Nothobranchius furzeri: one gene and its partners. The protein of the gene in region 7 purifies or fractionates together with the protein of the main gene of each other region. This does not show direct contact. Links are inferred from orthologs where the notes say so. Each region holds a gene or a part of one and is shown on either strand. Other genes may lie near its edges.

What was found.
Region 1: the proteins of cdk8 (region 7) and med8 purify together in Homo sapiens (affinity purification with mass spectrometry; 7 studies listed by BioGRID and IntAct, counting the BioPlex papers as one, with this or other methods). This does not show direct contact. The link is inferred for Nothobranchius furzeri from reciprocal best matches to the Homo sapiens genes CDK8 and MED8.
Region 2: the proteins of cdk8 (region 7) and med25 purify together in Homo sapiens (affinity purification with mass spectrometry; 8 studies listed by BioGRID and IntAct, counting the BioPlex papers as one, with this or other methods). This does not show direct contact. The link is inferred for Nothobranchius furzeri from reciprocal best matches to the Homo sapiens genes CDK8 and MED25.
Region 3: the proteins of cdk8 (region 7) and med7 purify together in Homo sapiens (affinity purification with mass spectrometry; 7 studies listed by BioGRID and IntAct, counting the BioPlex papers as one, with this or other methods). This does not show direct contact. The link is inferred for Nothobranchius furzeri from reciprocal best matches to the Homo sapiens genes CDK8 and MED7.
Region 4: the proteins of cdk8 (region 7) and med18 purify together in Homo sapiens (affinity purification with mass spectrometry; 5 studies listed by BioGRID and IntAct, counting the BioPlex papers as one, with this or other methods). This does not show direct contact. The link is inferred for Nothobranchius furzeri from reciprocal best matches to the Homo sapiens genes CDK8 and MED18.
Region 5: the proteins of cdk8 (region 7) and med21 purify together in Homo sapiens (affinity purification with mass spectrometry; 14 studies listed by BioGRID and IntAct, counting the BioPlex papers as one, with this or other methods). This does not show direct contact. The link is inferred for Nothobranchius furzeri from reciprocal best matches to the Homo sapiens genes CDK8 and MED21.
Region 6: the proteins of cdk8 (region 7) and med24 purify together in Homo sapiens (affinity purification with mass spectrometry; 13 studies listed by BioGRID and IntAct, counting the BioPlex papers as one, with this or other methods). This does not show direct contact. The link is inferred for Nothobranchius furzeri from reciprocal best matches to the Homo sapiens genes CDK8 and MED24.

Annotation. Positions count from the first base shown.
Region 1 is NC_091756.1:57,827,367-57,832,021, reverse strand, and holds the start of med8 (mediator of RNA polymerase II transcription subunit 8), read right to left. Parts: upstream 2,891-4,655; 5' UTR 2,836-2,890; intron 2,691-2,835; 5' UTR 2,574-2,690; coding exon 2,568-2,573; intron 2,339-2,567; coding exon 2,217-2,338; intron 1,723-2,216; coding exon 1,578-1,722; intron 1,504-1,577; coding exon 1,363-1,503; intron 1,267-1,362; coding exon 1,179-1,266; intron 1-1,178. UniProt on the Homo sapiens protein: Component of the Mediator complex, a coactivator involved in the regulated transcription of nearly all RNA polymerase II-dependent genes.
Region 2 is NC_091745.1:8,253,009-8,256,322, reverse strand, and holds the end of med25 (mediator of RNA polymerase II transcription subunit 25), read left to right. Parts: intron 1-1,166; coding exon 1,167-1,331; intron 1,332-1,439; coding exon 1,440-1,560; intron 1,561-2,290; coding exon 2,291-2,326; intron 2,327-2,446; coding exon 2,447-2,550; 3' UTR 2,551-2,733; downstream 2,734-3,314. UniProt on the Homo sapiens protein: Component of the Mediator complex, a coactivator involved in the regulated transcription of nearly all RNA polymerase II-dependent genes.
Region 3 is NC_091742.1:50,785,948-50,790,565, reverse strand, and holds med7 (mediator of RNA polymerase II transcription subunit 7), read right to left. Parts: upstream 2,850-4,618; 5' UTR 2,708-2,849; intron 1,505-2,707; 5' UTR 1,496-1,504; coding exon 731-1,495; 3' UTR 181-730; downstream 1-180. Other genes in the region: itk (tyrosine-protein kinase ITK/TSK), read left to right, coding at 4,076-4,213, 4,312-4,416. UniProt on the Homo sapiens protein: Component of the Mediator complex, a coactivator involved in the regulated transcription of nearly all RNA polymerase II-dependent genes.
Region 4 is NC_091745.1:72,040,736-72,044,960, forward strand, and holds med18 (mediator of RNA polymerase II transcription subunit 18), read left to right. Parts: upstream 1-1,544; 5' UTR 1,545-1,829; intron 1,830-2,154; 5' UTR 2,155-2,171; coding exon 2,172-2,244; intron 2,245-3,018; coding exon 3,019-3,575; 3' UTR 3,576-3,675; downstream 3,676-4,225. UniProt on the Homo sapiens protein: Component of the Mediator complex, a coactivator involved in the regulated transcription of nearly all RNA polymerase II-dependent genes.
Region 5 is NC_091741.1:59,846,852-59,851,314, reverse strand, and holds the start of med21 (mediator of RNA polymerase II transcription subunit 21), read right to left. Parts: upstream 3,082-4,463; 5' UTR 3,032-3,081; coding exon 2,990-3,031; intron 2,654-2,989; coding exon 2,539-2,653; intron 365-2,538; coding exon 264-364; intron 1-263. Other genes in the region: fgfr1op2 (FGFR1 oncogene partner 2 homolog), read left to right, coding at 3,936-4,070, 4,317-4,434. UniProt on the Homo sapiens protein: Component of the Mediator complex, a coactivator involved in the regulated transcription of nearly all RNA polymerase II-dependent genes.
Region 6 is NC_091756.1:31,526,128-31,530,542, forward strand, and holds the start of med24 (mediator of RNA polymerase II transcription subunit 24), read right to left. Parts: upstream 2,998-4,415; 5' UTR 2,991-2,997; coding exon 2,977-2,990; intron 2,866-2,976; coding exon 2,735-2,865; intron 2,653-2,734; coding exon 2,570-2,652; intron 2,489-2,569; coding exon 2,450-2,488; intron 2,368-2,449; coding exon 2,294-2,367; intron 2,189-2,293; coding exon 1,965-2,188; intron 1,768-1,964; coding exon 1,656-1,767; intron 1,577-1,655; coding exon 1,426-1,576; intron 1-1,425. UniProt on the Homo sapiens protein: Component of the Mediator complex, a coactivator involved in the regulated transcription of nearly all RNA polymerase II-dependent genes.
Region 7 is NC_091747.1:51,014,140-51,017,800, reverse strand, and holds the end of cdk8 (cyclin-dependent kinase 8), read right to left. Parts: intron 3,441-3,661; coding exon 3,383-3,440; intron 3,315-3,382; coding exon 3,183-3,314; intron 3,095-3,182; coding exon 2,951-3,094; intron 2,464-2,950; coding exon 2,394-2,463; intron 2,274-2,393; coding exon 2,201-2,273; intron 2,109-2,200; coding exon 2,011-2,108; intron 1,915-2,010; coding exon 1,836-1,914; intron 1,173-1,835; coding exon 1,014-1,172; intron 866-1,013; coding exon 740-865; 3' UTR 521-739; downstream 1-520.

The DNA of each region.
Region 1 (4,655 bases), on a different chromosome or scaffold from region 7:
AGATCTCGATTATTTAAGACGATTTTTCAATTTATGTTGATTTTATTCTGTCATAAAATTGCTCAGGGCACAATCAGGACAAAAATAAATGAGAAACAAGATGATCACTAAAATAACTCCTGATTCCCAGTATAAAAAGACCAATATACTTATAGCTCATAGTCTATGACCCAAGGGCTATAGACCTTGGTTTAACTCATGTTAGTCTAACCAGTACAGACCCAAATACCAATATCTTGCAAATACTGACAGCAAGAATTATACAGTGGCATTTATAACAAATAAACGCAAATAAATTGATGTTCACAAAATGTTGCATAACATTTATTGAGTCGTGTCAAGGTGCTGTAGGAGAGTGCACTAGCACCGTGTCCTCAGAGAGATTAGTTATTATTTATCAGCGTGAGGAACTTATTTCTACCTTATTTATAAACTATTTATTTACAGGTCCATCAGTTAATGTAATAATTGTCCCAACCAAAGCTGCACCCCCCAACCCGGTCTCACAGCAATCGGGGGCAAGCTGCACGTGTGTTTAGCACGCCGCACGCGCACATTTAGCTGTTTTTAGAGGCTCAGGAGTCCGCAGGTGCGGTGTGTGTGTTACTCACTCTGGTTACTCTAACAGGGAGTCGGCTCTGTGAGCCGTTTCCTTAGCGACTGACACATCACTACATCATTCCCTTTCCTAATGTCCTGAAGAACGGTCCGGAGCGCAGGCGGAGTGTTTAGCTAACCTGCAGGAAATGTCCACGACAGTTATCCAGAAAGTAGCTAAGGGTTTCCAGAGATGTTTCTGAGGTGTTTGCTAGGTACTTTTAAGATTTAAAAAGTCAAGAAGGGGGTCTGAGAAGCTGCTAGAAATAGCATCAAGGAGGAGCGCTTCATTTGCAACTCAGGACAGCGTAAGTGGGAGGAGCAAATAATTGGCTTGTTTTGTTTTAATAATCGTTCAAAACTCAGATCGTAATTGGGATTAAACTTCGATTAATTGAGCAGCCCTAGGTTAAACCACCAAATGGTTCTTGAGCACGGCCATGTCTGCAGCTCACCGCTTCCCCAGCGTATGGGTCGAATGCGGAGAAAAAATATCACTAGTGTGTGACGACTAATGGGACTTTAACTTTTAAACAACTTTTTCTAATGGTAAAAAAATGTGCAGCAAAACCTGAACACACCTGCGCTTTCTGCATCTCGGTCTTCCCGTGGGTTGTTTAGCTTCTCCAGCAGATTGGAGCACATCTTATTCAAAGTCTGGATCTGTTTCTGTTCATGCAGACAAATGAAGGTAAACAAAGCAGAGCCGGATGAAAGCTATCAAATCAGACAACTAACAGGACACAAAATATTATTCCACACAACCTGTGCTGCATCAGGACCTATCCGTGCTGCCTCTGCACTCAGCTGTTTTTCCTGCTCCTCCACCTCTGGATCAGGCTTGGTCCTCAAGTAGTCTGGAACAATCTCATGGCTGAACACCGGCACACGCTTCTCTGTGAGTTTCTGAGAGGCAGTGAGAAGCTATTAGTGAGCTTAACTCAAAAATAAGTAGATGAGACTGAGATGCTGCTACTCACCGCTAAGTCATCATCTCTTTCTTGAGATAAGACCAACGGAATAATAACCTGGCTGCGAAAAGATGGCGTCTTCTCATTCTTGAGCAGTCTGTTGATGGTATTCAGTTGACCAGAGAGGAGTGCAAAGTTATCCAAAACAGATGGCCTGAGTCAAAGCAGAACACAAAGTAGCGTCTGAGAGGAAATTTTAATCAAAAGATCCGCATCTGGACTAAAATATTTTAAACTAAGGTTATTTCACTAAGGACTGTGCAATTAACCTAATTTACAATTTTTATTTCATCCTTAGTTAGCACTAAAAAATGACCAACAGGAACAAAAATAATCATGATTGTTTTCGTGATCAGGCAGCACCATTTCACTAGCCTAGAAATTTAGACCAACCACAGCAATATCAAATGAAAATGACCCACACTATAGCGCCTTTCAGAGTCAGGGGATTCCAAAGTGTATTATTTATCCATTCACACACACATTCACACCCTGGTGGTGATGAGCTATAATGTAGCCACAGCTGCCCTGTGGCACACTGACAGAGCTGAGGCTGCCAAGCACAGGCATCACCGGCCACCCATCTAATGCTGCATTTCTTTACCGATAAGATAGTACGTTTCTATTTTAATAATAATAATAATTTACCAGGTCAAACGCTCATATTCATTTTCTAACTTGGCAATAAAACTCTGCAGAGCGTTTTTAACGTGAGCCACCAGAGAGATCAGCGTGTCCACAGAGGCTTCCAACTGCTTTTCTTCCCTTTGCTGAAAGACACGTGAAGAACGATCATTTTATTTCATTTTGATGACTGACAAACAAACGAGACAACAAATATGTTAGCAGGGAAAAGCTACGTGCTACATAGCTTCGCAAATGAAGGCTAGTTAAATTATCTTTAAAGAGCAAATATATTTGATATACCAGTGAACATAATAAACTACAACAATGTCGCCTACATTTGTTTTACTTTATTTTCCTATTATCAACGATTACCTGCATTGCTGATCTTAGCCGGATGCCTCTGATGAACCGTTCTTATCACTTCCGGTGTTACAAAAATATGAGTCCCCAAAATATGTTCCACCTCAGCTCCGCTTGAACCATGCCACCAAAGTGCTATACAATCAAAATAAAACAGATAAAACCAGCAGGGACAACTAAAAAACAATATACACATAACAGTATAAGAGCATGTAAAAATATCAGCAACAGCTAACCCACAGAGTTAAAAGCCAGATCATAAAAGTAGTATTTTACAAACCTGTACTCATGGGGAGAGAGAGCCTAGTGGTTAAGGGAAGGGCATTCCATAGTCTCGGGCCCGCTACCGAGAACGCCCTATCCCCTCTTGTCCTCAGCTGAACTCTGGAAACCGAGAGCAGAAACTGGTTCACAGAAAGGAGTGCCAGACCAGGAACATGTGGCTGTAATAGGCAGGGGCCAACCCATTAAACAATTAATTCTAAAATTGACAGGGAGCAGTGCAGAGCAGCCAGAATTGGAGTCGTGTGTTCATACTTTCTCTTGCCTTCCAAAAATCTCACTGCAGCATTTTGAACAAGCTGTAAGCGAGCTACAGTACTCTGACTTACACCAAATAAGACAGTTACAGTAGTCAAGGTGTGAGGTGATTAATTAATCAATGTATTCATTCATTCAGTCATTCATTTATCAATGTAATAATTAATTGATTTATCAATTAATTTGTTTAAAAATATATTCATATATATCATATATTATATTTTATATATATATATATATTTATGTTCTTATAAATAATAACAAGAATAAATAATTATTTTGAATATATTTATTTATAGCAATTAATTAATAATTAATCAATAATTAATTAATTTATCTATGCATTCATTCATTCAATGTAATAATTAATTGATTTGTCATTTTATTTATTTATAAATATATTAATTTATATTATATATTCTAATATATATATTTATGTTCTTAGAAATAATAACAAGAATGAATAATTATTTTGAATATATTTATTTATAGCAATTAATTAATAATTAATCCATAATTAATTAATTTATCGATGTATTCATTCATTCAATGTAATAATTAATTGATTTGTCAATTTATTTATTTATAAATATATTAATTTATATTATATATTCTAATATATGTATTTCTGTTATTATAAATATTAACAAGAACAAATTGTTATTTTGAGTATATATATATTTATATTAATTAATTAATAATTAATCATTAATTAATTAATTTATGAATGTATTCATTCATGATGGATATAACTGATTTTGACATCACAGGGTTATTGATGTAACAGTGTAGGTGTTTGTTTAAACAGAAGGTCATCAATTTGATCACATTTTAGAGTGGTGAAGAATGACCTCTTTGATCACCCTCCTGTTATCTGTAACTTCCTGAGACAAGATGAAGGTCCAACAATCTGTTGATTAGGTTACCCCGGTCAGCTGGTTCTAAAGAACTGTGTGTGGGGGTTGATCTGTAACTTCTGGGTGTGCCTTCCTAAATAAAAGAAGCTCTAAGGCTTTGCCTGATTGTGAGTGCAAAATGCCTTTTGTCTGGTGTGTAGTGATTCTCTCACCCTTTGCAAATGCATTCTTGCCTTTGCAAAGTATTTGTTGTTGTTTGTTGTTGGCAGGATTACAATTTACCAAATTATTAATCTAATCCCTCTGTGTGTGCTTTGACTTTCTTTGAGGTAATATGGGAGTAATATAAAAATTACCCAACAATTTATTTCTCAAAAATGAATTACTTCATTCATTTATTAATTTCTCAATGATTACATTAATTAAATTCTCAAAAAAGATTAAATGTATTACGTTTCGATGTTTAGAGGGAGTTTGCCCAACCAATCCACATGTGTTTTGTGGAGTTGGAGAAGGCTTATGACTGTGTCCCCAGGAGCACCCTGTGGGGGATGCTCCAGGAGTATGGGGTGGGTGGCTTTCTGTTAAGGGCCAATCAGTCCCTTTACCAGAGGAGCGTGAGTTTGGTCCACATAGCCGGTAGTAAGTCGGACCGGTTCCCAGTGAGGGTTGGACTCCGCCAGGGCTGCCCTTTGTCACCGGT
Region 2 (3,314 bases), on a different chromosome or scaffold from region 7:
CGTTTTGGTTTTAATTCCGCTTCAACACACCTGATTTCAATTAGTAGGTGATTAACAGGCTTCTGCAGAACCTGATGAGCTGCTGCACAGGTGATTCAACCACTGAATCAAGCGTGTTGGACCAGAGAAACCACTAAAACGTGCTGGATAGTGGTCCTCGAGACTCAGAGTTGAGTAGCCCTGATCTAAAGGCTCAGGAACTTTTTGCAGATGTTTTGGATTCTTTAGCTGGTTAGAGTGACTCTTTGAACCCACAGCATTGAACCTGTTCACAATATTCTAATTATCTGAGATTCTGAATGTGGGGGTTTCATAAGCTGTAAACCATAATCATCACAATTATAGCATAAAGACGTGAAATATCTGGCTTTGGATGGAACGAGTCTGCCTCGTATATTAGTTCCAGCTTTTAGGTTGAGTTCCTAAAATGAATCAACTTTGTCACCTTATTTTATTTTTTTAGTTTTACTTATATATATACATATATATATATATATATATATATATATATATATATATGTATATATATATATATATATATATACATATATATATATATATATATATGTATATATATATATATATATATATATATATATATATATATATATGTATATATATATATATATATATATATATATATATATATATATATATATATGTATATATATATATGTATATATATATATATATATATATATATATATATATATATATATATATATACATATATATAAAAGCTTATTAAACATTTTTGGATCCAGTTATATGACATTTAACAGCTTCTCATACACGCAGTACGTTGCTCGTGGCGCTGCAGTAGGTCTTCAGGAGACGTTTCCATTCAGCTGATTAGAAACAAGCTCCTCCTACTGAAGCAGCTTGTGTTTCCTCTGCTAAGTTTGGATCAAGGCTGTTAGGTAAACACAGGTAAAGCAAACAGTGAAAGAAGAAAGTGTTGGAAAATGAAGTCGAATACACATAAAATTAACAAAAATCTTTGTTTCATAATATTTGCGAGTTAAAGTTAATGTTTTTAACGGTTTAGATGGTGGTCTGCTATAAAGACTTTATTGCAGCGTTGCTCCTTGGTAGTTGTGTGATTCGTGTCGGTATGGGATGCTAACGAGCTGCAAGATCTGATGAACTGATTGAAATGTTTTTAGATGACGATGAGAGCAGCCGGACCAGCCAATCAGCAGCCAGCGGTTAGCGGAGCTCCGCCCAATCAGGTCACTCAGAGCGGACAGCCTCCGGGTTCCATACTTCGACTTCCGAACCCCGGAGCCAATCCACAGCTTCGCAGCCTCCTCCTGAGTCAACAGCAGCCAGTAAGAACAGCTGCTGGAGTTTACTTCTTTGTTTTGAGTCATGATTTTTTTACTCTGCGCTTCTACGGGCGAAGTTAACGCTCCGCTTATGTCTCTGTGTCCTTGCAGCAGAATGCGGTGTCTCACATGCCAAACATGATGTCCCATCAAGGCTTAGGACAGCAGCTGGTCCACTCGGCACCAGGAGGGGGGGCTCAAATGCAAGGCCAGTGGAGGCAGCCGATGACAGGTCAGCAGTTCAATTAAGATTTTTCTGCTTCAGTTGCAGAAAGATTTCTTCTTCTTTTTTATAATCTTTGGTTATTTTTATCGCTCCGTTTGCTCCACATATACTTTACTGGTCGCATAATCCTAATATACTCATGAACTGTAAAAGCTGTATTAGTACTGGTTTGTTTATATACAGATTTAAACATCAAAGCAGCCAATCTAGCTGCCAGGTTGGTTTATGTCACGTAGGGTTGGGCGATACGGCCTGAAATCAATATCACGACATATTGAGCATTTCACCTCGATAACGATAAATGGACGATAACTACAGGTATGCACAGAAACTTAAGTAGTCCACTAGATGGGACTGTCACGTGTGTTACGTTGAGTCACATTTTTAAGGTGATACAGCTTCTTAAAGGGACCTGAACGTTGCCAACCCACACACATCTTTTCATTTTTTATTATCAAATGTATTGACATGGGAAGAATTTTGATAATGATACATTTTCCATTTACTGCCCATCCCTATAATGTGGTTTGGCTGATGATTAGCTACATAGTTTTATTAATAAAAATTGTTAGAACAAAGAAAATCAAAACACTATGAAAGATCTTTTCTGCTACAGTTCGGTTATATTCTGTTAAAATTATCATTTAATTATTTATTATTTTAGCATCTTTTGTAAATGGGGCAGTAGACGCATCTTCAATAAAAGAAGCCTTTAATAAATTCTTGTGTTTGTTAGGGATGGACGTTCAGGCAGCAGAGGAAATCCTCGCAGGTCAAAAGCTGGTTTAAAAATCCTTGAACATATTTAACGCACCATGTCATGAGTAAAACTCTGGGTGTTACGCGATACAAGCGGGGCTTTTGAAAGAATTGTTTGTGTTTTTCTGTGCAGGTCAGATGCTGATGTCCGGAGGTCAGAGGGGACCCGTGCCCCAGCCCGGGATGTCCCAAGTCTCCAGTGTGATAGAGGAGGAAATGCTCATGGACCTGCTCTGACCAAGCGTGGTGGACTCTGTAATATAATTTCTCGTCAGTTCCGAGCAGCAGTTCTGGGCTCATAGATCTGTTATTTCTTTTATTTTTGTTTTTGCTACAAATATTTGATATAAGTAAGAAATAAATCATGTATTTTCAGGCTTTTGAACATCAGCTCTCAGCTTGAGTTAACTAGGAACTTGAAAGTGTGTGTGTGTGTGCGTGCGTGCGTGCGTGCGTGAGTGTGTGTGTGTGTGTGTTATTTTTCTTTCATGTAAGTGGTCTAAAAGTGGGCCGCGGATCCTTTGTTCTACCAGCTGGACCGGACCATGGAGAACGGTCCATTAAGTCTCTATAAACTCAACTCATCTACAAGTTTTACATCCCAACATTAAAGTGAAAACTGCTGTTTAGTTCTCTTTTATTTAAAATGTTTGTTTTTGTCCTTTTGATCAAGGTGAAATAAAAATTTCTGTAATTTCTTTGTTTAATTATTCATCAAATTAGTTTGAGAATCAAATGATTGAATGAATCTGGATAACGGAGCAGAGACTCGGTCTGCTCTCTGCAGCGCCGTGCCGGTCTTCACGCTAAGCCTCCACGCTCCTGCTGCTTGTGCTCTAAAGGTAAGGATGGATACTGAAATAGGCACAGTAACAAAGAGTTCAGTGTCTGTTTCTGCCAAACAGTGTTAATTTTAACTACTCCCAATATGTCGAGGAACCATAGAGGGCCGTGCTGTGCCAAGTAGTTCTACCAGATGGCATCAGTTGGCTGCGTTTCCA
Region 3 (4,618 bases), on a different chromosome or scaffold from region 7:
TCTGTGTGTGGACAGTCTGGACACGTAGTTACACATGTTGACTAATCGCCTGCAGCTTTCACCAAAGCAAAAGGGGAGGGGGGAGGGGAGGGCTCCCAATGACGAGACGGCTCCTGTCGTTCACTTCAAAGAGCCGGCTCTTAGAACCAGTTCGTTCGCGACCGACACATCACTATTAAATAGGTTTTATTTGAATTTTTATTGGAAAAATAGTGTATGTATAAAGTATCACATGTACAGACGACTGACAGACGTAAACCTATCAAATGTCACCTTTCAATTCAGCACACCCCAACCCTAAACTTGTCTACATTGCATTACATTTTAAAAGAAGGCAGAATGACTTAATTAAATTTTACTCAGGTCTCTGATGAATCAAGCTCTTTGATATGCCGACTAGCTAAAGGATCTACGCATCTACCGCTAATGCATAATCAGCAAACCACAGCGTCAGAATTAGCAACAAATTCTTAACAAAAGCACTTTGTGTTTATGTGGAACCATATTAGATCATCGTTTTTGTGACGGCACTAAACTCCTGCTGCGGTTTCAAATAGATTTATTGAGCCCAGTGAACACAAAGATCTGTATAAGATTTAAACGCTAAGGAAATATTTACAAGTACATTTAGTTGAATTTGAAAAGAACATGTACAAATAATAGTATTTTTATCCCACACAAAGTATTTCATGCTGAGTGAAAAGTAAAAACATGCATGTGCTGTAAATCTTCATGCTATCTCATCTATTATACTACACATGGCAGCATCCTTGTCCCATGTTTTGTCTGTTTTTGAACTTGGGACATTCTTGTCCTGATCACCTGCAGCCATGCAGCTGGCGCCCGTGTCCTCTACATCCATTGGTTCGGTTTTCAGAATGGGGGCCTGTCCAGAAGAACAACCAAAACTAGATCCAGCAGACACACTCTTGGTCCCAACACACACACCGTCTGTTACATCCGACTGGGGTAAGTCATCAGGTAGAGATGCAAGGCACCCCTGGATCATCTCCACCACCCTGTCCAGATGCTTCTGGAACCTCTCTGCCGTCTCCAGTCTCTGCCTCTTCTGGACCTCCATCATGACTCTCAGTGTTTCTCTGGCTTGGTGTGGCCTGTACTCGTTTATAAGATGATGCATGTGAACAAACAAAAGCTTCATGTCCTCCAGTTTCTCTTCACGCTTTATGCTGCCAGGACTCTTGATGAGAATGTCCAACAAGTCCAGAAAGTTCACAAGAATTGACATGTTTAGTTTTTTGAGCTGCCGCTTGTGGTCAAACTGCATTGGATGGAGCCTCTCGATGCCTTGGCTCTCCAGAGGTCGAATGATAAGGTCATCACACTGGAACTGGTTGCCAAACATCATGTAGCTGTCTCTAATGGGTGGAGGCGGCTTTGGGACCAGACCCTTGCGGATATTTTCATCTGTGTACTCTTTAATGTACTGCATAGGTGGTGGAGGCAGGGCGCTGACCTGCTGTGGTTCACCCATGATGCAGACCTGAAAGTATAGAAAAAGAAAAAACATTTATTAGGAATTCCAGGCACTATTAAAGATCAAGAAATGCCTAAATGAACTTTTTTTTAGCTGATAACCTGTACAGATGAGTGTCTAATAGTGCTGTAGACATGTGCAATTATCAGTGTGGCAGTTTAGTGCAACTTATTCTAAATTTAATATTTCAGCCCAAAACCATAGTTATATCTCCATCTTCAGATTAAAACTCGGCTCCACATTCATGTAGAACCAGCTGTGGCTGATGGCTAAGCTGAAAAACATGACATTATCAGCTGATTACTACTACTACACAATACATTACAGCTACCTAATGAGCACAATAACTTATTAGGTAACAGCATATCGTGTAGAGCTCTGCATCAAAAGATATACACTATTACACATAACAGATTGTAGTAAAAGCCTGAATGCCCCTCATTTGTACAAATAAATACTGTTAAATGTAAACTGCAGTAACAAATAAAATGTTTTTATTAAGAATTTATTATTGTTTGATTTACTTTTTGAGAGTTTCGATAAAAGATTCTCAAAATCCTTGTACATAAAATATATTTAAAAATTCGACAAACGTCATTCTCCCAATAACTGCAGGATTCTATCATTAGGCTGGAGGGGCAAATTCAATAATCAGCATACACTTCCAGTAAAGTGTTAGTCTAAAATCTAAACTAATGTGTTGCAGCACCAGTCCAGCACAAAACATTCAAAGCAAAACTAGATTCTGATGGGTTTTTAAGTTGCACCTACTGCTGTTGTTGGTAGGAAAAGTAGATATGAACTTAAAATGACACGTAAATTATAGTATACACACTACTGCTCATTTTGGCGTAAAACATTTGCAATCTAGTTTGAAGTAAAATTAGGCTTTATTAGCCATAGTTAATAATTATAGGTTTAATATCTGGCTGAAACGTTGTTCTTAGGTATTTAAGTAGTCAAATTCAACTCCTAGCACGCACCTAACCATTGAACCTTTGTCTTCTGTGTTACCTTTATTTTGTTACGGACTCAATGTGTTATTGACAAACACTACAAGCAGAACTACGTTAGCGTCACCGCTGCATTTTGTACAGAAACCTAGCTAACTATAGCCACCGCTAATCCCGGTAGTTAATTGGGCACGTCAAAAATGAAGCGAACTACATAAAAGGTAAATGAGAAGGGAGTAAATGTATTCATACCCACCTTAAGAACAATCCTTTAGAAACACAACATATACTTCTAATAATAACGTTAATCAAATATCGTTGGAAAATTAGATCAGGGCTAACATAGCTTCTTCGATAAATGCAGAAAAGACCAGTCGTTTCTGTTTGATTTCTATTGGCTGAACTGTCCTCGTGATTGTTTTCCTAACGCTGATTGGGGTGCGGTCACAGAAAGAGCTCAACGCTGATTGGTAGAAATATCCGGAAGCACGGAAAAATTTGTTTTTCTTTTACTTTGTTCTTCAGAGGATCGATGGAAAAAGTACCGTTTGATGCCCAAACTGAACTGATTTTATACATGAAAAAGAAAAGTTACTAAAATATTCAGATAACTGTTGAATATTTTTGAATGAAAATACTAATTTTAAAGACATAAAAACAATAACCTGTATATTAATTCCTTCGGGTTCTCATTTTACAAACTATGTCAGTTATTGTTTGTTCTTTATGTTTATTTAGCAGACGCTTTTATCCAAAGCGACTTACAATTTATGACCTATAGGGCATGTTGTGATCTGTTTGTCCTCTTTCAGAATCTGCAGAAATCTATGAATTTTATCCTAAAATAATAATAATAAAAAAAGATGATTGTGATTTCTTATGTATGTGAAACACCTGCCACAAACAGAACGGTGTAAAAGGGTTGATATCGATATTAAAAAGAAATTGGGTTGATAATGACAAACTGAATTCTATTATTCTCTTGTGAAAAGATAGTGAGCAGCATTTTAATTCCTAATGTTCCGAACCGGTTTGCTCACGTTTATTTATTTACTCCTTGTCACCTAGATGAGTTTTGTAAATTTTTATGTGGCTTAAGTAGTTTTTACTCTTTACTTTAATCAAGAATTTAATGGACTGCATTCACTGTAAACAGTCTAAACTTCTCTGAAAAATAACAATATTTTGACGTGTAACCCCTAAATGCAAAGACACATTTAGAGAAAGAGAGATATTTCTTTATCTTAACTTTTTTCAGTGATGTTTTGTGTTTTGTTACTCATTTTATCTTCCCAATTGTTTAAAAAAGTACTACCAAAACCTGGATTTCTGCATTCACAGTCCTGCTTTGGGCTTAACTTGTTAATTCTCTATAACATTAGTGAAAGTACATGTGCAGGGTAGACATCTACAGTGTTTGTGCATCAAACAGTGTGTATTTCTGCTTGCGCAAATCATTTGTTGCCACAAGGATGTGGTTTACTGCCTGCCGCAGCTTCACGCCGGAAGCTCCACAGCATCTACGAAGTTTATCATCCACAACTTTGCCTTTTCTTCTTCTGACTCTGCGAGGCTCTGCTTGTGACAAAACCATTCGCAGACGCTCGCTGCGTTCTTCTTGACAATGTTCCCCAGGGTGATTTTGAGGGGAACCATGATCAAAAAATCCCAGCAAAAGAAAAGAACATCACCAAATAACTACAAAGAGAGGTTTTTTGTGTTGGACACTCAGGATCTGAAGTATTCGGAGTGCCGTCCGGGGGTAAGTCCACACGATTTTGTATTGAAATGTGGTTTTCTTAAAGTCACATTTTCTATGGCGTTGAATCTATGTGACACAGAGCGTGTTAATGTGTGCAGAAAAAGCCCATGTTGAAAGGTTGCATTCAACTGTCCAGGATTAGGTGTGTGGAGATTGTGTGCAGTGACATTCCCATACCTTGCAGCTACAAGTACCCGTTTCAGGTGAACATCATTATTATCCTTTAGGGTCACAAGGTCATTTCATTGTCATAAGAAGAAGAACATGGCATTTCTTCTGAGTAAAGGGTGAATAAAAAACAAAATAAATTCGAGTGTTGACTTTATTATATGAAGCACCTTTATTAATGCAACCGATGGATATTCCGAAGTTCTGTGCATAAAAGCAAAACATCAGAAGCAGAAA
Region 4 (4,225 bases), on a different chromosome or scaffold from region 7:
AACAAGATTTATGTTAAAATATACATATTTGTTTGTTTTGTGGCAGTAGTACACCACCGTGAGGACTCCTCTCTGTCTTGTTTCGTGACGTGTGATGTGGATTCTGAAACTAGAAAAGAGACTTCAAGGCTTCAGGTGGACAATACGATAATATCAGTGGACGTAGCTCCATCTGGGGTTTTCGTTTGTACGGCAGGTCAGATTTTGGACAATAGCACGACTGTTACCAGCACTTACACATCAGCATCAGCAGTTTTAAACACATCAGCAGGCGAGTGAATGCCGCGACCCTCTTTTTTAAATTCTAAATTAAAATTAAACAATTAAAATAAACATATTGTTGACTCTACAGGTGAATCTGAGGAGACTGAAAACACGTTTCCAGCCATTTATGGAGTATCAATCACTGCGGCATGTCTAGCTGTAACAGCACTCGTGATTTTTTGCTTCAAATCAAGACTGCAAGCAGGTAGGATTTGCAGCTGTAGGTTTTCGTTGAGACTTCCTGTTTTTTGTAATTTACATATAGATTTTAATCATGCACAGTGGTTTGCCCTTCAACCTGATTCTCTTTCTGTCTCTCCTCAGCATTTCCGTTTCACAGCTCTTGTTGCGGATTTGGCAGCAAGGTATGATGAGTATTATAAAGTGTATGTATGAAATACCACATGTGATGTTTTGCTAAGGTAATTAATGTCTTGTTTTATGCTGCAGGAAGAAGAAGAAAACCCGACTGTTATTTATTCTTCTCTTGTCATCAAGGCACCTCCCGCAAGAAGACATAGATATGCATGTGAAACTGACTGCATTTATGGTGAAATAAAAGTGTAGTAGAAACACACCTGGCAGAGATGAAAGCTAAACTGAAGAGTTAGTGATTGTAGTTTCCACACTGTCCTCTGATTTAGTGATCAATTTGTCAACAACTTCTAATATGATTGTATGTATAATTATTACTCCCACAGGGTTGTGGAGGTAAAATCTAAAATTTCTCAATTTTTGCCCAAAATAAATAAATAAATAAATAAATAAATAAATAAATAAATTTCTACATTTAAAATATATTTTATTTTATACATACTCTTCCATAATATGTTACGATATATTGCTGAAATGTGGATACATTTCTCATTTTGCAGATTTTGAATTTATGAATAAAATAATACAATTTAAATTTTAAATGTTTAAAAATTTCCAAAGACAATGAAGTGAATTTATTTTTAAGAAACTGTTCCGATATTTTAAAATGACGTTCTGAGAAAGAGTTATAAGCGATTAAAATATGATCTGATGAAGACAACTGAATAAAATCATAATAGAGAAACAGATTAGTTGTGACTGGACTGATTATTTTTTCATGATTATTTATAAACTGTTGGATCATTAATTTACTTTCTGCAGTTGCAGAATGAACTTCATTTCTATTTTTATTTCAGGAAATGTGGAATATTAATGCGAAGATCCTGTCATTTCGTTTGTGCACCGTAGTTTTTAGACATAGATGTTGTAAAACCGTCATTCTCCAGTAGGTGGCAGCAGAGTGTTATCATAGCGGTTGTAACGCGCTTCAAAAACAAGCCAAAGAAAGATGCTCTCGTATTTTTGATGCATATTGAATGTTTTGTCTAATCTCCACATGCGTGGGTGGTTTTATTTTGACTACGTTTCCTCCATTTTTTACTTGAACAGCTGGAGTGACTCATTTGTATGTTGCTGACGTAAAAACTTGGCGAACTAGCGGTTAGCTAACGCTACATGCTAACCGGAAGAGGCTTACCGGGTCTTTAACAAACCATTACGCCAACATTTATTCTGGTTTACCTTAACAGGTACGGAGTAGCATTCTGCTTTATGGCTATTTTTCATGTAAAAGTAGACTTTTTGGGGGAGTCGCAAACTGTATGAATGATTTAGCTTAGCAACATAATTTAGCCTTTTAACTATTAGCTAGCATAACGAACAAGTTAACATCATAAGTAGCTATTTACATTAAGCTCTGCATATTATCAAGTAACAGTGAGCCAGCATGCAAAGTGTTGATTAAAATAAGTTTAGAACCACCTCGACCTTTTTCTTAAAGTGAAATATTTAGCTATTTATTAGCATGTTGAGCTAAGCTTACTGACTGCTTTTCTTTTTAAATTGGGACAAAAGCAGATACCTGAGAAAAGATGGAGGCCCCTCCTGTTACCGTGATGCCTGTGACCGGTGGGACGATTAATATGATGGAATATTTGTTACAAGGTGAGTTAGTGAGATACAAAATAAAAATAGTCTCCCTGAGTGCTTTTTAAGTACACAAGAAAAATTACTTTTCAGACATTTCAACGTTTTATACAATTGTCAGTTTTGCATTAGTGGCCATATGTAGTATTTTATATCAGCTATTATGTCAACAATGAAAGATGGATGACTGTTAATGGGGAAAAATCTAAATTGAATTGAATAGGCTATTAATCCCAGGGGGGACATTCACTCTAGAGCAGAACATACGCTTAGAGAAAAGGAAGAAGAAAAAAATAAAAACAAAAGTGCAGGTACATACACAACGGCAGTAAGCTATTATTGTAACCTTCAAACCACTAAGAGCAACAAAATAAAAATACTAAATTGGGTTTCCAAAGATGTACAGCATAAGGAACACATATTTGTAGGTGATAACTAAGATTTAAAAGATCTTCTACCATAAACTGAAACTATCAGTTATTAGTCATTTTATTTTTACTAATTTGTAAAATCTCAGAATCTTGTTTCTGCTTCCATGAAAGCATAACTGTGGAAAAAGTCCTCAAAAGCTGGATTAACCTCTAATCTGACAGTTTAAGGAAACGTGTTACATGAAAAACATATTCTGATGAAGACTGATTATAGAATACATGTTTTATACCTTTACTGTTTCAGATAAAGTTTGAGTGACATAAGATGTTTGTTTTATTTTTGAATTATTCATGTTAGAAAATGATTGCTGTTATTTTTCCTTCAATGAAGCATTATTTTCTTTGTTTTTGTTGAATCCAGGCAGCGTGTTAGATCTGGCTCTGGAAAGCCTGCTGCATCGCCTCCGTGGTCTGTGTGACAACATGGAACCCGAGACTTTCACAGACCATGAGCTGGTGTACCTTCTGAAAGGCCAGCAGGGAAATCCTTTTATCCTGCGTGCCCGGCGCGCCCTCTCCCACCCAAATGCTCCATGGCATCTGCGTTATCTCGGCCAACCTGAAGTGGGAGACAAAAACCGCTACGCCTTGGTACGCAACTGCGTTGACGTGGCTGCCTCTCACAGCCTTCCAGAGTTCCTGAACGAGATGGGCTTCCGCATGGACCACGAATTTGTCACCAGCGGCCACATATTTCGCAAAGGAGCTATGAAAGTGGTGGTTTGCAACGTTTCTCGGGTCCAGCTACCAGGAAACACGGAAAACACAGAGCGAATGTCAAATTCGCACCTAGTTGAACTGAGCGTGTTGGCCCCTGCTGGCCAGGACACGGTTTCAGAGGACATGCGCAGCTTTGCAGAGCAACTGAAACCTCTGATTCACCTGGAGAAGATTGACCCAAGCAAGCAGAGACATTAGAAGTAGAATTCAGACTAACATGGACTCATTTAATGTAGCTACTTTTGTTTAATTGTTTGTTTTTTATCTTAATAGAAAATAAAATACTGCTCAACTTTTATTCGAGAGTTTTATTTGTTTTTGAATTTGTTTCACTATCTAAAAAATGCTTCATTTATTCCTCATGTTGATGAAAATTATAGTGTATTAACAGCTAAAGCTATTTATTCAAAGAACCTTTTAATGCTTTACTGAATAAGAGGTGGTTTTTGCTGTGGACGTTTTTCTTTCCGTCCACTAGGGGTCTCTCTTTCTCTTGTCTTTGCCTTGATTGGAACAAATTGAATGCTACCTCTCATCATCTACTGGAGCTGTGGTTGCCATGGAAATAATTAGCTGCGAGATCTGCACATCTTTTACCTCATTCTAATTAGCTTTCTCAATTGCTTAATGATACATAGACCTGTGAAAGCCTTCCTTTCTTTCCCTCAACAAAAGCATTGATTTTCGCTCCCTGCCCCTCTCGTTTCCACTGTTAACCCATTAGTGCCCCTTTTTCATGGGAAATTGAACTGGAACCATTACACATGAAAGCTCCACAGCTGCCTTGGGTCCTTAACTGTTCACGATGAAATTGGAAGAAGAAAAAAAAGAGGGCTGTATACTAGTGT
Region 5 (4,463 bases), on a different chromosome or scaffold from region 7:
AAGCTGTAACACTCTGGGTCAACAAAATAAAATAAATGTGTTTCTTATGAACATGAACAATAATACTGGGTCTCTTCTTTTTAAAATAGATCAAAGTGAAGCCATTATTTCAGTAAAACTTCTTAAACTCAAAGAGTCGGTATCTCTTAGAGACCAATCCTTGTGATTTTAGTAGAAGTCTGAATGATTTCCTTCAGCATAAATGCAGGCAGATCTGAAGCTCCTACTGGAAGCAAGAGTGAAGTGAGTGCGAGCGTGCCGACCTGCAGGGCTGCTGTGGACTCTTCACTGGGCAGAGAGTCGATCAGTACATCTACATCTTTGGCTGTTCTGGCAATAAGAGCGGCAAATAGCCGTGCATATTCTAGAGGAGAGGGAAAACACACATGAGGGAATGCAATGAGCGTTAGTGCCATTGCTGCAACTAAACAAGTAGGTACAGTCGACATAATAGTTCCAAATGACAAGAAAAGTCTAAATATTCCCCCCAGAATAAAGGCTACATCCCAAGAATGAGTCAATATGTCGAGACAAACGTCAACAGTATTTTAAAAATTCAAGATTACAGTCATAATGTCGATGACAAAGTCAGCTTGTTTCTTCCAGGATGAAGAAAAAAAAGTTTAAAGGTTAAGAATCAACACTTAACTATTTCTAGAACATTGAGAAAAGACAAGAGACAAAAGTAGAAACCATCTTTAAATAGTGGGGAACAAATTCTAAACATCTATAATTACGTCTAAATACTGAGGAAAAATATTACAATTTAATTTGAAAAATATCAAAATATAACTTCCAAAAAAGAAAACAAACCCTGTTGTGCCCCTGAATCAGACTGCATTTGTTCCAGTTTTATCATCATTGTAACCGACGGTTACAGGAATGTTTTACCCAGTAAACTATTCAATAAAATAACTATTTGGTTAAAGGGACGTTATGGAAGTTTGACAGCCAAAACATGTATAGAAATAATAAATTTCTTCTTCATACATTCTCCTGCAATGCCCTGGTCCTGTAGAATGAGCCCTGGCATTTTTACTGTGATTGCCTGTTTTTCTGTAAAATCACAGAAAAAGAGAGCTGCTCGGGTCGAGCAGGCTGCTTCATCCGTGTTCACGCTCAGGCATAGCCCTCCAAACTGTTCTTTGAACGTTGTTTCAGCTGTCATCAAGGATATAAATGTTACAGACACAAGGAACGTCACTGGCGCTTTAGCTCGCCTTGTAAGACGACGGACTTTCGTGCAGAAGACTCGAGTTCGAATCTGGATGTACATTACATTAATGGTATATTTTTTTGCAGTAAGATGCCCAAATTTTTATTTGACACTTGCCGAACGGCATTGAATTCACAGATAAAAAAGATGTGGGTTCAACTTTCATTTTGGAACAATTTTTCAAGCAAGGGAAGGGAATGATCTGAGCATGCAGGAGGACTGACCCATCTTAAACCTTTGTCGGCTGTGCTGAAGAGAAAGGTACAGAACCAAATTATTTAATTAGCTGCACCTTCTCCTGTCCTCTGTCCTCCGGGCCACACACACAAGGGACTGTCTCAGCTGTTATTTTCGTAAAGGAGTGTGCACGTACAGCATGCGCGCCTCGTGCACGAGCCTACTATTGAAGCTGCCATTACACTTTTGGCCTGAGGGGGCAATCGCTAGCATAAAAATTCAAAACTCCGTAAAGTCCCTTTAAATATCAGGTTTTAACTCCTTTTGTTAAAGCAGAACTCGGAGATCTTCAGTCTTTCACAATAAGGGTCTTCAGCAAACACGTCCCTTTAGTTAAAAGGGAACAACACTTCCTGTAACAAAATAAATCCCTTCTGGATTTAACAAGGCAAATAGGTTGTATAACCTCAAGATGGCAATTCCACAATTCATCAGGATCAAACCATGAAAGAGATCAGGGCATATCGATGCAGACCCAATGAGCACCAATGACAATCTTTGCGATGACAATTGTTAAAACTGTTTGATTGTTCAACATCTCTACAGGATCCTCATTAAAAAATGAATGCAACTCAGGATGGGAATAATTCTTTTGACATTGCAGAAGCAATCAAAGTGAAGGGCAGTCCAACTAAATATTACAAAGTGACACTTTTGGGGATGGGCAGGGTACAGTTGAGATTCAGTTCTTCAGGCTATTTTGGAAATGGTAACACTTTTTTTCCTAGACGTTTTGACAATTTTCTTTAAAATTTCAACATTTTTCTTGACGTTTTAACTTTATCCTGGAAATAGTATTTCACTTGTTGACTAGCATTTTTACTTTTATACAATTAAACCCCGAAACCCCTTTTTGAAACAATTTATTAAATTGTGGCTTCTTCGAATAGGAAAATAAATAACCCATGAGAGTTTGGTAGTGATTTTTCCACCAGGCATGTGAGCATGTTTGGCCTGCCAGACTCGTCCTCTGTTTAATTCTACACAGAGAACTAATGCTTCCCATAAGGATGCATGACTGGTCAGGCTAGCTGAATGTGGGAGAAAAGAGATTTAAATAAAGATTTTGCTTTGAAGTTACAAACCTTCGGCTGAATTTCCTGGCTGATCCTTGTTGATTGCTGTCTGAATATTACTGAAGGAAGCAGGTGGAGCACATTGTTGCAGAACACCGATGGCATCACAGAACTGATCAGCCAGCTGTTCACACGCAACAAAACAAACACGGGTTTTAAAACTCCGGACATTTGTTTAAAAGAATATAGAATAGATAAACAGCCAGTATAGTCTGATAGTTGCATTACCAGTTAAACCAAGCCATGTTCATTGGTTAAAACATAAAAGCTGTGATAAATTGTGTAAATTAACTAAACCTTAGACTCGCAAGTTAGCGATTAGCTACATTTAAAAGACTGAAACGATAATTCTGCAAATATTTCTTATCTAAATCCATTTGTTGTAATTGTGTAAGATAAAAAAATAACTATTGACGTAGAAAATAATTATATTTCGGGATATTTCAATAGTTTTGCTTACAGAATTGACAGCGTCTTGAAGTTGCGTTAGCCTATCCGCCATGTTGCCGTAAATAAAATAAAAAACTCCCCAACGTGACCCTCGCGAGAGTTTAACGTCTCGCGGAAATAAACAAGAGGCTTCGAGTTAGCTGAAGCGATGGCTGTGACCGTCCCACGGCTGGTTTTTTGTAATGTGGATAGGTTTTAAATCGACTTTTTCATGACTAGCGATATTTACTCTCGTGCTTTAAGGAAATGGGAACGCGCCAAAGCATCTAATCCGGAGTAAACGTCAGCTTTTAGCCAGTGTTAGCCACCAAACAACAACAGGAAGTAAAGAAGCTAACTCAACCCAAGTGGTTTTGTACTTTGAACTCTTCAGGTATGACCACACATTTGTCAGTTTTGCTGCCTTTTGTGGACCTTACAAGTTTAGTTATAGCAGCCGGTTGGTGTTATGAACTCCTCGGTAGTTTATATTTGATTAATGAAGTGTTGTGGTGATAAATTGTGTCAGTAAATGCAAAATATGTTAAGTAATAAAACTCTTATTAGAGTAAAATGACCTATCAATGCATTATTGGCTGTAAACTAGCGTGCTATCACCTACGAGGAGGCTTAAGGTTCAAGCTAGGTTCTTTAGCTTTAGAAACGTTTATTCATGGCTCATTTCGATCGTTCTGGTGAATTATTATTATTTTACAGAGTGTGGTGAAGTGAAAGTTCATGTATTTTCGTGTGGCTGTCTGTAAAAAGATTCTGAACAACTAATATAGAAGTAGACAGATCTTTGAATGAGCTGAGTTTGAAGAAATAAAGATTAGTACTTACTGGACTGATTTGTTTGCATGTATTCGTAGTGTATTGCATTAATTATATTTATTTTCAATAAATTGATACCAACAAGTCAGAGCTGTTGAATAATCAAAAATAAGTTGTTTTTATGCTTCTGTATTTCCTTAGGTATGAATTGTAGTTTAGAGAAGGTCTTGGCAGATGCCAAATCATTAGTGGAAAGGCTTCGTAACCACGACAATGCCGCTGAGATGCTAATTGAACAGACAACATCTCTCAACAAGAGAGTGGAGGCTATAAAAACGGTATGTGATTTTTTTTTTTCCTATTTTATGTGCTGTTGGGTACTAGCTTAGTGCCACCAGGGGTCACATTTTACTAATTCTATAACTGAACACTCTATAATGCAAAAGAAGAAAGTAAAGTGCATTCCAAAGAATGATGGAATATTTTAACCGTAGCGTTGACTGCTGTTTAGTTTACAGGACATAACTACTGAGGGCGAAGCTTTTTATTGATTCGTTATTTATTTATTTTTTCACATTTGACAGTACCAGGAAGAGATTGATGCACTGAACCAGGTTGCGCGACATCGGCCTCGTTCCAGTCTGGTTCTGGGAATCCAACAAGAGAACCGTCAGATCAGAGAACTCCAGCAGGAAAACAAAGGTAGTCTTTCAGTGTTAATACTCATGGTG
Region 6 (4,415 bases), on a different chromosome or scaffold from region 7:
TTCATTACTTGTGGTATAATCAGCATTTTAAAAATCTATTCAGGATTTATGTTTTCTTGTTTATTCATTTTTCTTATTTTTTATTCTCCTTTTTTTCTCCTGTAATACGCGTCATCGCTGCTGTGACATCTAGCTTTCCCCACTCAGGAACAATAAAGGGATTTTCTATTCTATTCATCTATCTGCAGCCTTTCCACTTCCTGTTTACTGTAGGTTAAATCTTTTCTCACGGGCCGACAACAAAATAAAAATATCATTTTATCTTAAATGAAAATGCAACATCTCACCTGTTAACTTTCATGTTTTGGAGCAGAAAAAGAGCATAAAACCAACATATTTAAAGCTCAGTTTGTTCCACTGGTTTACTGTGATGCTCACCTGTTCCAGCCAGATCCCTGCATCATGGGGTTGATCTGAGCTGAGGAGGAGACTCCTGTTGTTTTGTTCATCTTCATCATAATAATGACAACATTATATGACAACAGGTGCTCACATAGGTTTGTGCTGCTGAACATGTCTGAGCAGCTTGACCACGTCGTTGTGTGTTGGGGAGGAAAAATAAAAACGACAGCAGCCACAGAGTCATGCTGATTTGAGCTCGTCGCTGCTCGCTGGAGTAAAATCAGCTCTGTCTGAAAGTTAGTTGGAAATCTTTCTCTTATAGTCGTTCACACATTACAGAGCGGTTAAAATCTCCGTTTCTGGGCTTCAACGTCAGAAAACAGCTGAGTGAACTTGGCGCTGAGTGAGAGGAGCGTTTAGTTTGTCCGAGACAGCGGAGCTGCAGACACCGGCAGTAGATGCTGGAAAAAACACAAAGGAGGGGGCGCTTTGGCTCCGCGCTAACGCCGCAAACCATCATGGGAGTTGTAGTCTTTACAGTAAAATCGGCCAGCGGGTCAGTTTTAATATATTTTTGATATTTATCTCGCGGGCCACATAGAAATGCTCCGCAGGCCAGCCTTGTGTCTGACACATGTGTTTTAACACCTTAATCTAACAGCTGAAATGTCTCCTCAGCCTTCCTTATACAGGAGTGATTCATCACTAAATTAAACAAATTAGCTGTGTTCGTGATCTAAAACATGAAGGAAACGTGCTAGAAGCAGACTACTGCGTCAGGTAAATCAGCTTAACTTAGAGTGGCCCGCCAGTCTGAAGTTGCAAGTGGAATATTCTGGCCACGGTGGTGAGAGGGGCTGGGTGGCCTTTCATTAACCCTGCAAAGGGTCATTTTGGCACATAATAGCTTGAGAAAATGATTTAAAATTATGAAAAAAGTTGCATAGTATCCCTTTAAATGCAAATGAAATGAAAACACATTCTTACTTAAAATTGTTCCAACTAAAAACATTACAAGGTTCATCTTTCTACAAAAAATAAAAAAGGTGCAATGTGATTGTTTCCCCCCACTTTAATGTTTACCTGCATTCTTTTGATCATCATTAGCTGCTCCACCATGGGCTGGATCTCCCCCGTTAGATTCATGGTCCCCTCCAGCATGATGAAAGCATGAACTGATGGGAAAGAGGCACGGACTGGCGGGTCACTTTGTACCGAGAGCATCAGCGGGATGCTGAGGGAGAAGAGCAGAGATGCAGCATAAACAAGCTGGATTGTGATGGCCCTTCTAAGTCGGGCAGAGGAAGGCTGACCTTTTAACTAGAGACAAGCTTTCCTCTAGTTTAGCTCTGAGTGTTTGGTTTGGCACGTTAACAAGGCCGTCAGACACCTTGAGCACTGCTTGTTCAGCGTTACCCCAGGAACCTGAGGACATAGACACAGACACTTTAAAGGTGCATGAAGTAAGCGCAACATCCTGTGGTCTGCCATTTGCTTCAAAACAAATATGTTCCGAGAGAGATTTGAGGATTTTAAACACCATTGTATCCACAAGGAACACCTTTCAGCTTCTCAAAACAATATTTTTAAATAAATGGTTTGAAAAAGCTATTTTCAGGCACCTTGGTCCTCCAGTCGGGCAATGTGGACCAGAGCTCTGATCTTAGTGCTGCTCATCAGGTGGTGGAGCCTCTCCTGGCAGGCTTTGAGAGCGGCCTCGATGCTGGGAGACGGGCCCAGCTCTCTTAACTTCTCGCAGTAAAACGCACAGCCCTGCAGCAGCCACACGAGCACCCCCAGCAGGGCCCGGCACAGCCCGATGCAGTCCTCTGCTTTTCCGTGACAGCTGAGACACACACAGACAAGAAATTGTTTTAGTTTATACATTTTTTTAGTGGTAGAATGATGACCCATTGACACAATCTGTTGAGTTAGAAAAGATTGAACATACTTGAGACGATGGCAGAACATGTCCATTATCTCCAACAATGACATGACACACAGCTCCCGAGAAAAGCCATCAAACTGTTTAAATGGAGATATTTATGTTAAAGTTGTAGTTCTTCAAGTGATTACTACACCATTGTGTTTATATTCCAAAAAGTACCTTGCTGATGGCTGTTAGTACGCTGGAATAGGACACCATCTGAGACAGGGAGAATGAGGTGCACCATTAGATAATCTGTTCAGCTGCATGTTTGATCATAACCATGGTTCTTCTCTCTACCTGTGAGCTTATAGCATATCTAAGGTAAGACAGAATCAGCGGGTTGGGAGAGGGACCGATCATCGCCTGCTCCATCAGTGCCTCTAAAATACACAGAAAACATTTCAAATCATAGAGGAAGTGTTTATTAAATTAACAGATTATCAACAAATAGGCGTCACAAACCAGCAAAATTAAGGTAGTCCCATGTTTGGCCCTTTGGGAAGTTTTTTTTAATGTTGATGGCCCACTGGTGATCACTCCATCGTTCCTTCCACGCCTGCAAAATGGCTTGTTTCAAATTCACCACCTTCATCCTAGCAAGAGTGAACACACACACATTTGTCATGCACAAAACTCCAAATCCCCAATTTCAGCTAAGGTTTTAGGTATTTTATGGGAAAAAAAATTCAAGTCGTTTCAAGCACCTAAGGAAAACCATGGAAATCTGGTCCTAGGGCATGAGAGACAGGTCGTCTCTGCACAAACTGCTCCCCACCACAGACAACCCATCTCTCTTCAGGACGCCTCACTGCGGTCCTCACTGTTTGTCTGCTCCAACACTTCCAATTCAAAGCTTGAATTACATGATCAGCATGTCAACAAGCTCTGCAGAAGTACCTCACTGATTAAAACCACGCAGTGATTGCTATTGGATTAGAAACCACTGCCCTACAGAGACTAATCGGCTGCTCATTTGGCCATCTCTGCCATAGTAAATATGGCTTCAAGACAACATGCATACCATCGCTGTGCAACAGATGTTTTTATTGTAGATTAATTTTCCACAAACGCATATCTGTTTATAACTACAAATATACAACCATGAAACATGTTACTCTAGTATAGTAAAGCACCAATAGTTTATATTACTTCTGCCTATTCTTATACTTTTGTACTTCCCTGTCTGCTACTCTATCTATCTATCTATCTATCTATCTATCTATCTATCTATCTATCTTGTTAAGTATCTTATTAACAAAGAACATTTTTCTGTAAACGGATAGTACATTATTAGTTATAAAGCAGCCAGGTAAGGTTAAAGAGAAGCTAAAGCCTGAATAAGTCCACTAGTATGAAAAAACGACATCGAAACGTGGCTCATTGCAAGCAAAATAAAAGCAAACGAGGAAGTCTCGCCGCATTTCACTGATATATTCCATACTAATAATAGAATACTAATAGTTTGAACCATTCGTTCAATGTCGCTGAAGCGTGTTTATTAGCATGTTAGCCGTTAGATAGCGACGCGATCCATCAGCTGTTTGAAACAAACAAAAAAACTCAACAGCTATTAAACACACCTATGTCACCGTCAATGGGAACATTTCTAGTCGCACTGATTTTTTCCCAATGTAAGAATTACCTGACTTTTCCACAGCATGCAGGGCTGTAGGTTTGAAAACCAGACTCTCACAACGTAAGCGATGGAATCGTTGTTGCAACTACGTAAGCGCTCATTGGTCAATATTTCAAACGTAGGAGTATTCTCTCTGGTGATTGGTTGGAGCTAGTGCTCAAAAATTGCGTCGCAAGCATGAGATAATGTTGAACACTACATGTCGCTGTTTACCAGATGAGCAAAATTTATTTCTACCAGCGAGTCAGAGAAAGTCATTTAAACTGATTAAAAAGGGGTTTTGTTCTTATTAAATTCAATTAAAATATTAATAGGTAATATAAAATAAATATATTTAGATACTGATGTTTACCAGCATAAATTTGTAGTTTTGAATCAAAAACATGTCAGAAATAAAACTATGAGTTATTAGTTCAAAGCCCAATAAATACCCAACTACGTGTAATAAACAGAGAGAGAGAGAGAGAGAGAGAGAGAGAGAGAGAGAGAGAGAGAGAGAGAGAGAGA
Region 7 (3,661 bases):
TCCACTTTTATTGTCAGGATACTTGTTTCATGTAAAATATTTAAATGCAATACAGTACAATGCATGTTCCATCTGCCATCCTCCATACGATTAGTTGGTTTTGTCGTCATGTTGTAAGGCTTACTCACAGTACACAGCAACTCACACACTCTGCTGTGTTACGCTTGTCATGAAAACAAAATCATGACAATAGATTAAATTAGAAACTACTAAAATCCTTACTCTGTCCTTTCTGAACAAAAAAAGCCTCCATCCCACAGCTGTGAGATCAAAAATCTCCCAGCCTGCTTTGCCGCAGTTCAGTCCTCAGCGGAGGCCCCTTACACACAAAAAAACAAAACAAATAGGAGGACTGAGAATCTGTTAACGTGGGCAGTCACGTAGCAGCTTTCGTCTCATCCAAGTTTTGACGGGACGAGGGGAACTGAAGCAGAGGAAAGGAGATGGCTCGTCTGTATTTTGCCTGATTAATGGAATATTTTATTTTTATCCTCTTGATCTGCCTTTCACCCATGAGGATTTGCTTTACGCTGTACTGGGATTGTGTTGTCTGACACTGGTGGAGTTGTTTTGTCTCTCTGAACTACCAGATCACAGCAGAGTGCCTTCAGAAGGTAGGGTGTGGGGTGTTGCACCATCCCCACATCCTTCAGTACATTCGTTCAGGCGGTCACAGAAATGGCTGTGTGAGTGTGTGTTCAGATTAGAAATGTGTGTGTTTATTTGTGGGAGGGGTGTTTCAGTAGCGGTGGGACTGGTGGGAGTACTGGGGTGGTTGTTGGGAGGTAGAGGAGTATCCCATGCTGCTTTGGGGCAGTGATGTGCTTGGTCCAGGATTCTGGTAGGCAGCATGTGGATTAGAGCGCTGCATGAACAACAACAACAACAAAAAAAGCTTTGTCAGTAAAAACTTCAAATTTCTTCTGTTTTCATCAGCAATTAGTTTCTTTATTTAGCATTTAGGACACAAGCTGTTCTGTTTGTGTGTCCAGATGAGCAGCAGAAAAGCTCACCTGGTAGTCTGAGGTCATAATGAGGCCACCTGAGGTAGTGGTGGGAGGGACAACCCGCACCTTCTTTGCAGGTGGGCCCTGGGTGTGGCTATTTTCTGGGTTGCCAGTGTGCCCCGCCCCGTTTGTGTGGTTGTTTCCCTGTTGCTGCTGCTGGTTCTTCTAAAACACCCAACAACAAAACAATCTAAACAATACTGTACATGTACTACAACATTTTAGTTTCTCATTTTTGCTTTGACAGGGGTGCTCCAAGGGGTGGCCAGGGATGGGGGGCCATGGCCACACCCTGGTAAATTGGTGGCCACCCCACTGCCCCCCACCAGGGAAGACCACCCCCCCACCTTCCCTAATAAATCACAATCATGTTCACACAAATTGTACATTCATCTTTTTTTAATTAGGACATACATTTTTACACTAACAAATAAATGTATTCTACTAAAAAAAAATTATCACAGCTTATATACTACGTATCCCATTGAGGCTCACTATATTTTTTCAAAAATATGTTCAAAAAGGTTTTGTTCAAACGACAACAGGCAAATTTTAAACTTAAAATTATAAAACAGCAAAATTTAAAACAAAAGCGGAAAAAAACTATGAACCTCTTAAATGTTTGTGTTCCTCAACTCTGAGGTAAATATGACGGACGCATAGGCCTTTAGTTCTAAATGAAAGATAACAAAGAAGCAATCGACAGCCACAGGGACCAATTTGGTGCCACCCCAAATTTATACTGCCCGCCCATGAGGATTATCTACGTACACCACTGCTTTTTGATTCAAATGCATTCATAAAATAAGTTTGTAAAGTAAATTTTACTTTGTCTCCTTTGTCCTCTGGCTCCTCCTCTGTCAAGAACTCTCTCTTGGGGTAGGGAATCTGACAACCTGCAAACACACTAGAAGAATGCAAAAACACCTCATCAACCTGTTCAGGAGTCTCCTCCGGCACGTTAGCCGCGCTAAAAGCCAGAACTAAATCTGCTGCAGCTCACTCAGACGTGGGAAGAGGCTCTTCTAAAAAGTACGGGTCCTGCATTGCCTGCTCCGATGTGATTCTACGGATGGGGTCCATGGTCAATAGTTTTTGCAGCTGCAATCAATAACGTGATTTTAATGTCAAACAAAAAGCCGTACCAGATATATCAGGCAGAGAAAGACTAAATCAAAAGCGCTTCAACTCACCAAGTGGAATGCTTTACTGTCTGGTTTAACTTTATGTTTTTCCATGTACTTTATAAGGCTGCAGTTTGTGTATCTGTATAAAAACAGGAGCAAACTATGAAGTGTGTGTAATTTTTGTGTATTAAGATATACTTTGCTTTGTTTTGATCTTAAAACAAATAAAAAACAGGACACAAGTGGTCTGCAGACTCACGTGTTCCTTCTGAAATCTTTCATCAGTGTGGAGTGCTCTGGCATCTTTTTGATGTCTTCCCAGTCTTTATCTGTTAGACCAAGGCAACAAAGGGTTAGGACGAAGGATCATTTATCTTTAAAGAAATTAAAAAATTATTTTTCCACAGCAACTTACAATTAAACAACATTTCTTTCATTTTTACACCAATTAGCTTTGGTTTTGTACTTAAACTCTGCAAATTTGCCCAAAATTTCTGCAGAAACCAAAGTGATCCTTCTAACTGACTGGTGAATTAAATAAATAGAGCGGCAGAGACGAGAAAAGAAAAAAGGAAAAGTGAAGCAGATTTTGTGAACTGGAAAGTATCGGTCCAAATGTAGGCCTGCAAGCAACCATCTCTAGGTTTGTGACTTGTATAAAGTCTGTGGTTTGATGTCCGGCGTCTACAGACCACATTAATACATTCAAAAACAGAGCAAGTAAAGACCGAGAAAATAATGCGTTTCATCACATTTCCTTCCAGAACATCGTAGCTGGAAAAATCTTGTGTAACACCAACACATTAACAGTCTCACCAGCAGGGAAGCCCATAACATTAAAGATTCGGTCCAGCTGGTCGTGGTGGTATGGGTTGCTGGTCTTGATGTCCTCCTGACGACAATGGAATATGGGCTCAGACGTTAGCAGCTCTGCAAAAATACAGCCAATCGCCCAGATGTCTGGGAGAAACGCACAGCACGTGCTGACATAAGTCAAAGCCACACCAATAAAAAACACGTGCAGAGCAGAAGTGGAAAAGGGTTTCACCGATGGCTTTGGTGTAGTGCCGAGCCCCCAGCAGCAGCTCAGGTGCTCTGTACCAGAACGTGACCACGACGGGGTCGAGATCAGCTAAAGGCTTCAGTGGTGAATTGAAGAGACGAGCAAACCCCATATCCGCTACAAAACAACAACGTGTGTTAGTTTATAAAGTAAAACTTTACTTAAGAAATGAACACGATACACACCGATCTTCACTCTACCCCTTTCGGGACCTTCTCCCATCACTAAAATGTTTGCTGGTTTCTGATGATGACAAACAGAAAGATAACAAAGATTTAGGAACAGCAGCTCACCGTTAGACCACAGAAGAGCAAGAAAACAGCACAGCAAGAAAGATCCAATCTAAACTAATTGTTGCTGCCCTCTAGTGGGCAAATTAATAACTTGTATTCTATTGTCTATTTTAAACTTCATGAAAGAGATGAGTATAATAAATGATACTGTTAAGAAATACCAACATTCAA